Linked DNA regions of Drosophila melanogaster. The protein of the gene in region 2 interacts with the protein of the main gene of each other region in a pairwise test. Each region holds a gene or a part of one and is shown on either strand. Other genes may lie near its edges. The genes, in order: nst and beta-Spec.

Region 1 (5,687 bases), on a different chromosome or scaffold from region 2:
GTTTGAATACTAGTTGACTGGAAACTAATTTTGTTTTAACTAAAAAAACTGCAATTGCATCAGCCAAAGTGACAGCACGGCAATCAGACGGTGTGACCGGCTGAGTTTTAGACGAGTAAACCATCCGGCATGCGAAAATATACTTTTAATACCATTTGCATAGATATACCGAGTATTAATAATATTCAAGTAAAACTTTTTTATAAACAATTGCTAAATTAGTTAGCTAAATTAGATAACTTTCGAACTACGAACAGTTAACATTCAATAACTCAACTCGACTTTTGAACGTATGCTTTAATTAACACAAGTATAACAGTTTTGAAGTATTTGCTTACATTGTAACAGTTAACAGTAGTCCTTATCAATTACTGTCCTACATGTCTCCGCTACTGACCGCCAGATGGCGCGTTTCAATTCTGCCAGCTCCATTAACATTTATTAAAATGTTAAGTTTAAAAATAAAAGTTGGCAAAATTTTAATTTATTTGCCGGGACAGTGATTTAAATTTGCCATAAATTGTGCGTACAGCATAGTAAATTCCAAATGAAGTGAAAACTGATTTATATTCGACCTAAAGTAAAAGGATCTTTAGATTGTTTAAAAAATACTTTTATAGAAAATAGCAATACAAACTTGATTAGGTTCATTAATCTCTACTATCAATTCTTTTATAATTTCAATAGTTACCGCTAGCAGCTCAACAAAAAAATCAACGTAGCGGTTGCATTTTCATTAAATTCTTCAATTACAAAATAGCGAAGGACATAAAATTGCAACTTTCACAATGTACATATGTATAAATAAACTTGAAAAGAACTTTATAAATAATGGCAAAAAATATGTCATCTTTAGAACACAAAAGACAGTGAACATTTGCAGAATAAATGCGTTTGAGAGTTAAGTTGTTTTTTTTTTAAGTTATTGAGCACCTTAGAGTAAAGAGATTTATTGCTCCATCCAGGATCTGTGTCAATTGTCGATTCCCGTGAGAGGTTAGTTCGTCATTCCGCTCTACAGGTGGGCACTGCTGTTGGGCTTCGTCAATGGGGGGCCAACTCCGCCGGCCAGTTTCTGGACCAGCAGACCCACTTCGTAGGCAAGATTATCGGTGTCCTGTCGTAAAAAAAAGATAGTAAGTAGAGTGTTTTGATCTAGTGCTAAGAGTTAACTTATAAGCCTTACCTCTTTGGTGGCTGCTTCGGCATAGACGCGCACCACATCCTCGGTGCCCGAGGGGCGAACGAAGGAGCGTCCCCGCTTGTATTTCGCCACCACCTGGTTGATTTCCGTCTGCAGACCTTCGGGCTTTACGCACACGCGTTCCGCATCCGTCGTCTCGATGACATTGCGATCCTGCACCTTCACCTTTAGCTGTCGGTTGGGCAGATCGTTGTACGACGAGATCCAATCCTGGACATCCCAGCCCTTGTGATTTAGGATTGTTTCCACCAGCAGCATGTCGGATATGGCATCGCCCACGGTCTCGTTGATAAGATCGATGAGCAGCAGCAACGTCTTGGCACTCTCCTTAGTTTGGGCCACCTGGGCAATCGTCGCCTTAGCATTGTCACTGAACACAATCGTTCCGTGGCCATTCGCCTCGAAGTAAACACCAATGTCGTACTCCAAGGCCTTGTGGTGCAGGTGCTTCACGCCCGTGGGTACGCACGAAACGGGAAACTTCAGCTGGTCCACTATGTAGTCCGTGGATGCACCATTGGCGTAGGCAGTTTGCACCAGGCCCAGCCGTAGGCTAATCTCGGATTGTGTGACCAGTTCCATGAGATAGCCGGCGATTAGGGTGGCTATGCGATCGCCATCGAGCAGATGGAACTCACCCTTGTCGTCGGTAAAGAAGTACACCACCCGATCGGCATCGCCATCCACGCTGACGCATCTCGTGTACGGCTTCACATCCTCGGGCATGGATTTCGGCGGACTTTGCTGCACCTTCACGTAGTCGGCGCCGCAGTCCTCGTTGATCTTGCCGACACCGATGCCCTGATTAATGACCGTCACGTTGAGGGTGCCCTTCATGCGCTTGATGAACTGCAGCATCTTGCGCGCACCCACACCGTTGGCACCATCGTAGATGATGCTATTGCGATAGTTGCCGTTCTCCAGGCGCCCGTTGCGCAGCAGTTCGAATGCCTTGATCAGCTTGTCGTAGTAACCCTCCTCGGTGGGCTTGCCGTATGCCTCCTTGGTATTCGCCGCCACCACGAAGTAGTGCAGCATGGGTGTGGTCACAATGCCGTACTCCTTGACGTTACCCTTTAGCGCTATCACGCCATCGGCCACCGCTTTCAGCAGCCGCGGACTGTGGTATCTGTTGTCCATGCCCACAAACACCTGGGAACTGGTCGTCACATCGATATTGTTGTCCTTTATGATCTTGGCCACCTGCTGCTCCAGCTCCTGGTCGCTGACGTTGACCAGATCGGTGGCTATCGCCTCCCAGCTGGCCTCCAGCATCTCGCCCTTGGGATCGACCAGCTTCACTCCGTTGTCCGGCTCCGGATTGTGCGATGCCGTGATCATCACACCGATGACGGAGCCTCCGCGATACCGGGAACGCAGGGTGGCCAGAACGCCCATGCGGAACATCACGCTGTCCAGGAACTCAGCCCTAAAAAAAAAATGCGGAGTTATTACATCAGGATTTTGTTTAGATACAAAAGTATCTTTTAGCTTGTATTTTGGAGTTGGAAAATGTTTTGTACCTAATGTTGTTTGTTTATATGTGTGTTATCACTTTAGCTATCTATTTTATCTTCGCTGGATTGATAAGCCTATAGAAGCACTGTGTATTGCTCATTTTAGGCGTTGCAATTGCTTTTATCAGTAGGTGTGTCATGGAAACTTTGTTATCTGGCTGTAAAGTGGTTAGAAAATAAGGGCGCGGAAACCACAAACTATGTAATCAAATACTTAGTTGGTTCATTTTTCACAAATAACAAGTTATTAATCATTGAGATTTGAAAATATTGCAACTTGCACATGTGGCACTAGTTCGCTGCCCGCGACTGTGCGTCAGTATGTATGCACATATGCACATGCACGCACACTTACGCACATACAGGCAGACATAACGGCGAAAGAAGGGCATGTCCATTGATAAAAGGTGAACAATATCTAAAAATAAACGCCAAATTCCAACATCACAGCCCTGCAACCGCCCATTTATCAAAAAAAAAAAAAAACCACCAACAATCGCCGTGTGCTAATCAAATGCGCCAACGTGTGCATCGTGTGGGTGTGTTAGCATAATGATTATGATGATTATTAAGATCGTTAATGGAGGCAACTACTCACTTGCCGCGAAAGCCAGCTGTTCCATATTGGATGGTCTCCTTGGAGGTCTTTGGGTACATCTCGCGGGCGAAGGCGTAGACGGTGCGCAGGTTAATAGACATCTTGCGATACTCGAGGGCGGTGCCACTGGTCCAGAGCGAGGTGAAAGGTTCCGTCCGGTTTTTCCGGACTTTCGAAATTTAACAATTCCACAGATGTGTGCAGGCGGGTGTGACCGTCGTTTCGCGGCACTGTTCCACCCTTGCTTATGCGGCCAAGCGGTCACACTGCGCTGAAACTTGTAACTACGCTATTTTCTTTAATTTCAAACATTTTACTGGCTTTATAAACAATACAGAGTGTTTTAAGGTTAAATGCAATATTTACCAGCGTAAATTTCAATAACATCTATGTTTCAAAGCGATGTTAGCGCACATATTCAATTTGAATTTGGCGGCTACAATTGCGGTCAAGATATTAGGATTCTTCAAATGATACTAATTCAAAATAAGCAAAATAACTCCTTTATCTAGTTATTTTATTTGTATACTTACATAAGCGGTTGTAAAAGATTCGGCTTACATCTCCTAGGTACATTTTTTGGACGGTCTTAGTTGGTATGTACACAAACAAATACTATAATAAGGCACAGGACTTTATAAATTATAAACTATAGCCTTCAACAGATATTTTTCGGCTAGTTAGAGTTTCATTTTCGGACGGAAGGGATTTCACATTTAACTTAATCATATTTGGAATGTAAAAATGTTGATATGTTTTCTCTTTGTGCTAGAGATGCTTGTAGAATTCTGAAATCTAAGTGAGTCTAGTGGCTTAGAGCATTGCAACCAGCGAACCCACGAGGAGCAGGCCCACGGATAATGCCAACTGGGAGGCACCAGCATAGCAGTCGGTGATGCGGCGTGCTCGCATAAAATCGCTGCCCAAATAGGCATCATACCTGCGCTTATTGGGCGGAATTACTTGCAGCTGCCGCGTGGCGTCCTGGAAGATCAGATCATAGTGCCCGATCGGCGAGGAGAACATGCTGAAACTGAAGGCGTCCACTTCCTTGCGACCGTACAGTTGTTGGGCATAGGTCAGCAGATTGATGTAGGCATTCATCTGGGTCTCGTTGTAGTTGACTCCGCCGCGGGTGACCACAGCATTGGCCTTAACCTTGCCCAGATTGCAGCGCTTGTAGTCCTGGATCTCGGCACGAGTACCATCCGTGCAGAGCAGCTCAAAGTCATCGTTTAGGGCATTCCTGGCCCACCATTCCTTGCGTTTGCCGCCCGTGCTTTCCATCACCGTGGTGTGCTTCATGAAGGCCACGTGACCGCCGCCCTCGACGAGGCAACGGAATGCACCCGTGTGCCCGTAGTATTCCTCGGAGGCATCGCGACGACAATAGCGATAGCTAGTTCCATGACACAGATCGCACATGCTGTCGTAGGGCACACCGGTGTTGTACTCATTGCTAATGGCACCCGGCACGCACGACTTGGTGAAGTACTCCGCGGCAGCTCGAACCGAATCGCATCCGTAGGGACGAATCCAGCCGTTCGAGATGAAAAGCGCCATCGGATATGTCCAGCCAGCGGCGGTGTTAATGCCCGTATGGCAGGTATTCTTACCCTTCAGGTAAGTTAGCTCCGTATCGGGATCATCCTCCTTGGCCACGGCAACCACATAATACTCGGGCTCGCCCAGATTGTACACCTCCGACATGAAGGGCACCAGGTCGTAGTTGAGGCCACCAGTGTAGACATCGCCGGCATCGAAAACGGAGATGTCTGCTTTGCCCGCTTCGATGAACTGCATGCAGTTGATGTGGGAGTGCATTTTCTTGCAGATGAGTTCTGGTTTCAGGAGGTGAGCTTTCAAGGCAGTCTAAAAGTGTTTTTGTAAAGGATCATCAACTCATCTTGCTATCCATATATTCACTCTTCAACTCACCCTCATCTTGATGCATTTATCAAGCTCATTCTCCGAAGTCACGCAAAGCGTCATCGCTGGAACTGGACACTCACGGATGCCGTAGATAAAGTTAATGGCAGGGCCTAGGTACTTGGTAAATGACTGATCATCTTCGGGAATCACGGTTAGAGCGCGACTAGAATCCTGTCACAAAACAATTGAATGTTAAGTATGTATTTCGGATCACGGAAAATATGATCCACTTACCTGGAACAGCAAATTTGGCTTGCCATAGCGCTTCGACTCGAAGATGCGGAACTTCTCATAGAGTATGGAAGTGTTCGTGCCGTCCTGCTGGTTTCTTTCCTCTGCAAAACTGCTGTCCAATCGTTCGCTGCGATACTGATCGTATTGATTCTGCGTTCTGTACGGATCATTATTATCGAACTGGCCATAGGCATTCTGATCG
Region 2 (5,257 bases):
ATGCACCAGTGGTTATTGTATTTAATTGTTATTTAATGGCTCATTCATTGACAAATAGTTTACTGTTGGCCCTCAAAGAGGTGCATTAAACAAATTCTTGTTATTGATTTTATAACTATAAATACTTGCTCTTTTTTTTATAATTAGACTAACAATAAAAAGGCACAAAAAGTATATAACGTCGTAGCTAATAAGTTTTAGCTTGAATGCTAAAGTTCGCTGCTATCTTTATGACCTCAACTGTGAACACACATCGCACATTTCACATTTTCATAAATCATATTCATGCTGGGCCCATTCAGTTTCCATTTTTCCATCGGCGAGCTTTTTGTTTTACGGGACACACGTATGTCTATCACTCATTTACATGGGCTTGTATACTAGTATTTCACTGGTTTTTTATCGACGTAGCCGACGATTTGAAATTACGACCTATTCACACGGCAGTTGGCCCTCGAAAATTCATTCGGTTTCACACATCGCAGCGTTTTTCACACTTTTGCAAGCTTTTAGGTTGCAATGAAAATGGGCGAAGTACTTGGGCTGTACTTTTTCCACTTGACATATTTTTTTGTTTTTTTATTGCCGCACTTTCTCCGCGGCTTTCACATTACAAATTAGGAGAACACAGTACTTAATTCAGAACTCAAAATTTCCCCAAATAAAATACTGCCTCTACAAAATTTTAGTAAATTATTAGAAATATTATGTCAGTTCATGTTTTCAACTTTTATTCATTCACAATATTTTATTTACAGTAAATGCAATTCAGTATGATATTTTTGAAAATTATTTGTAAGATGAATAATGAATTCTTTAATGAATGACCGCAACTCGATTAGAATAACAATTTAATTGCTTGATTAATGGAATTAAGTAATATAAGCTTGCCGACCTAGGACAAAAATAGAATCACTGATTGAATCAGGCCCCTTTTGCTGTGTATAACAGTGGGTTTTTGTGCTAATGTCCTTTGACCTTTATATACATTCGCGTTTGCACAGGTGCCGGGGTCATTCCCTTCTACGCACACAACAACAACAAAAGCAGCAAACATAACTTTTTCCCATCGCTTCGTTATCGCCCTCCTCTACTCTTCGTTCTTCGCTCTTCCTCTTCTCGCTTACACAATTAACTAAGCTGCTGATTTCATTTGTACTAAGTTTTATGAGAGCACCGCGACAACAACACCCAAAATGAAGAACATCAAGAACCATAGTGCGAGCGAGAATTGTTAAAACAAACAAAAGCAAAATCAGCACACACGCACACGCACGCAGCAGCTTCTATCTTAGTATTACGTAATATTTTTATTAAAACGAAGCTTAAAACTTTGAGAGAGCGAGAGCGAGCAACAACAAAACTGGAGCGCAGAGCGATAGATAGAGATGGAGAGAGGAGAAAGAGAAAGAGGGAGAGTACTATTGTATCTATATATCTGTATCTGGAAGGTGGTGCAGTTAGAGTAGGAGTGCTGGAAGTGGAAGTGAGCAAGGGATAGAGGGGTGGAAACTGCACAAGACGCTCTCACGGGCTAGCTCTCTTCCCCTTACACACCCCAACCACCCACCCCACCTTACCACCTTCAATTGTTGGTGCTTTCTAGACTTAATTATGATGGCCGATCCGATCCTCTTGTTTCCAGTGTGAGTTCATCACAGAGAGCGATGAAGAGAGACACAGTGTGAGCGGAAGAGAGAGAGCGGGGCGTGTGTGCAACTGCGAGTTCAATTAAACAGGCCAAGAGTTCAACTTTGGAAACTTGGAAATGAAACCACCACCAAAGCTGAGGCTTTGCTAAGGAAAAACCAGTTTTCCCTGCCATTTATGAGCAAGTTAATGAGTTTTCGGCGATCAATTGATTGAATGCCTGTATGTTTGTAGGTTTGTGTGCGGGTGTGTGTGTTGTGTTTACAACTGTACGTGTGTGATTTGTCATAAACAACAACAATGCAACAACATCAGCGACAAGGTGAAGCACAAACAAACACATAAGCAAACAAACATTGGGCAAGTGCAGCTCAGTATATTTATATCTTTTAACTCGTAACTTCGAAATGAAACTTCAACTCGTGACCTCAGAGGGCCGGGTGGGTGAGAAGAGCGGGGTGCAAGGGAAATGGGAAATGGGGAGTGTGTGTTATTTTTAGCCGATGTGTTGGTGAGCACGTAACTGTATTTCAGCCAAGTGCATAGGCGTATGCGTATCTACGGGGAAGAAAAAAGAGCGCACCGCTTGTATTTCATAAAACTCACAAGCACACGGAACCTCAACGTATGATACACATGTATATATATATATATATCTCCGATTAGGCGATAGCCGTGTTCTTCGCTTTTTATCACCAACGGAACGAACAACTGACGCAAACGTTACTTAAGGCTTGCGCTTCTTCTTCTTGCACAGCAACATGTCATTCATGCGTTTAATTCACAGCTCTAGAGTTTCGGTCCTGCCATTCAGGCACATTTACACCAAGTAATTTAAAAAATAAAAAAAAAAATGCGAACTACACTCGTCCAATTCGATTACTCGAACAAACATACACACACACTCACGCACGCTACGCGCTCTCAACGAAAACCGAATGATGTCATCATCGGTGGCAGAGACAGCGACGCCGGCAGCGACGGCGACAGCGTCGAAATATATGAGTTAGCAGGCAATTTTAATCGATGATGTTTTTATTATGTACGTAGAAATGTATGCGAGAAATCACTTGCTTTTCATATTTTAGCACACTTCTAATTCTCAAACCAAAAACACACACACAGGCACACCAAGAGTAAGAGTCGCTCACACATTCGTTAGATACTTTTTGCTCTCTTTTGCCACTTCTGCCTTTTATTGGTGGCTCCTTTTTCGTGGCCTATTCACTTGGGCGTTGGTCTATTTCACATTTTCCCCGTTCGACCGCTTGCGTTTCGAATTTCGCGCCGTTTTTACTGCACTGCGGCGACTTTCACTTACCTACTCGATAATTTTGCAGCTCCGCTCGCCCTAATTGATTCATAAAACACAGTTAATTTCATAGATTTAGCACGTTCAACTAAAAATCTTCGGTCTGGCGGATGAACTTCACTTGGCGAGAATGGAAAAAATGTATGTATTCAAAACATCGCGTTGCGAACGAGTGAACGAAGTGAACCAGCGCGAGAAGGCGCTAAAAAACGCCTACTGCGCAGTGTGGCCGTGCCACATGATCTGGCTATAAATTAGCCAAAACGGTGGAACTTAAGATTTTTATATATTATTTAACTTAAATATTCCTTCATATTTGTATAACCTAATATTACATAAACAATTGTTTACGCCACATGTACTCTATTACTTCGAGCTATTTAAATAATATTAATTAAATTTTTATCAGAACCAAAATGTTCTTATTTTCCTAAGATTTTCGTTACAGAAATGCTTATATACAAACATAACTTATTTATATTTAACTTTTTTTAATATGTTGGCTTTTTGGGAGAATATAAGCCTTATTGCTAATAATAACAGTAAAGATTTTACTAACTTAATAGTACTAATAGTTGTTAGCCTCTTGCAATAATTGTTAATATTTTTCTTTAGCTGCGCATCTCTTTGTTAACCTTCACCTATGAGAGCAGTATAGTATTTTTATAATAATAAAATAATAAAATGTAGTAATTGCTGGTATATTTGCAGCCTCTCCAACTGGCCACACTGACGTGTGTTGATTTTTTGGATGCGGATCGCAGTGGATTCTCGGATTCTCCGGCATTCCCTGCCCCAACTACAGATCGCCGAGATTAAAGCAGACCCGCGCCGGCATCTCCAGCACGGACACCCCGCCGGCCAGGCCAATAGAGCGGGACAACCGAGCACACGAGCATTGCCGGGTGCAACAAGTTGGAACGCAACGACAACGACGACGAGGACAAAATGCCGGTGAGGATGTACGATGTATCGCCGCGCGTTTTCTGCGCCATGCAGAATCTGGACATCACCCTGCTGGCCAGCTATCCGGAGGCGGAGATTCGGCCCGTGCTGCCCTCGCTGGTGCGGATGAGCCTGCTATCGCCACTGGACAACACCGAATCGTCGATGGAGTCGCGCAAAGAGATCCTGGCCGTGCTCATCGGCATCGAGGTGGTGAACAGCATCGTCTCCTACCTGCAAGTCAACTACCATGAGCTGGAGAATGAGCTGAAGAAGGAGCTGCAGGCCCGCCAGAAGTCGGCCTTCTTCGAGGGACAGCAACACGAGTACGGCCTCCAGTCGGGCATCGCACTGGGCTTTGAGCGGGCGGATGTGGCGCGCAAGGTGCGCGTGGTGCTCTCCGAGATCTTCAATCTGCAGCAGCAGGTCTCCGAGCAGAAACCGGCCGCCCATTCGGAGATGCTGGACGACGGCATCTATCTGGAGGAGGTGGTCGACATTCTGTGCATTGCTCTCGCCGAGCTGCCCTCCCTGCTGAACATACTGGAGCTAACGGACGCCCTTGTCCATGTGCCCAACGGACATCGCATCATCTGCGCACTGGTCGCCAACTTTCCGGATTGCTATCGCGACGTTGTGTCCCATGTGATCGCCAATTGCGACGAGGATGGCAGCGATGGCAAGCACCGGTTAATGCTGCTCATGGGGCTCAGCGAGATGAATCCCTCCCAGGCGCTGGCCAACAGGTCCATGTGCGTGGATATGCTGAAGGTGCCGTCGTTTATGCTTAAGCTCACGCTCAAGCATCCCGAGGATCTGGTGAGTAGGGTAATATTGACCAGTAAGGTGCAGATTTACCACAACACTATAATCGTTAGGAAATTCTTTGCATTTCATTTAAATTTAACGTACATAAGAAATGTTTTTTGATCATATTTTGTTGATTGATCTTTTTTGTTTGGAGTACCATTCATTTGGAGTTCTGCTTATTTTTGTGTAACATGTGTTAAGCAAAAGCAAAAGCGAGAAAATGTTGCTTAGCTATCTCGCTCTAATTCGCTAGAGCGATTGAATCTTATTTGGACGTATGACAATATTTACGAATAATGAGATAACAATGCAAACTTCAACCACTCCCCACAGATAGCCTTCCTCACGGGCCTGCTGCTGGGCAATGACCAGAATCTGCGCTCCTGGTTCGCCGCTTACATCCGCTCCAGCCAGAAGCGGAAGGGGGACGCACTGAATCTGGTGCGCGTGGAGCTGCTACAGAAGGTGATTCAAACGACGACCAATGCGGCGGAGCTGCGCGACTTCAATCTGCAGGGCGCGGTGCTGCTGCGTCTGTAC

What was found.
Region 1: the proteins of beta-Spec (region 2) and nst interact in a two-hybrid assay, tested with the Drosophila melanogaster proteins (one large-scale study listed by BioGRID).

What each region holds. Positions count from the first base shown.
Region 1 is NT_037436.4:12,526,616-12,532,302, forward strand, and holds nst (nesthocker), read right to left. Parts: upstream 3,557-5,687; 5' UTR 3,421-3,556; coding exon 3,320-3,420; intron 2,634-3,319; coding exon 1,187-2,633; intron 1,118-1,186; coding exon 1,016-1,117; 3' UTR 600-1,015; downstream 1-599. Other genes in the region: Tsf2 (transferrin 2), read right to left, coding at 4,133-5,191, 5,258-5,422, 5,486-5,687.
Region 2 is NC_004354.4:17,655,252-17,660,508, reverse strand, and holds the start of beta-Spec (beta spectrin), read right to left. Parts: upstream 3,138-5,257; 5' UTR 2,976-3,137; exon of another isoform or gene 2,972-2,975; intron 1-2,971. Other genes in the region: IntS2 (integrator 2), read left to right, coding at 3,911-4,726, 5,051-5,257. UniProt on the Drosophila melanogaster protein: Spectrin is the major constituent of the cytoskeletal network underlying the erythrocyte plasma membrane. It associates with band 4.1 and actin to form the cytoskeletal superstructure of the erythrocyte plasma membrane.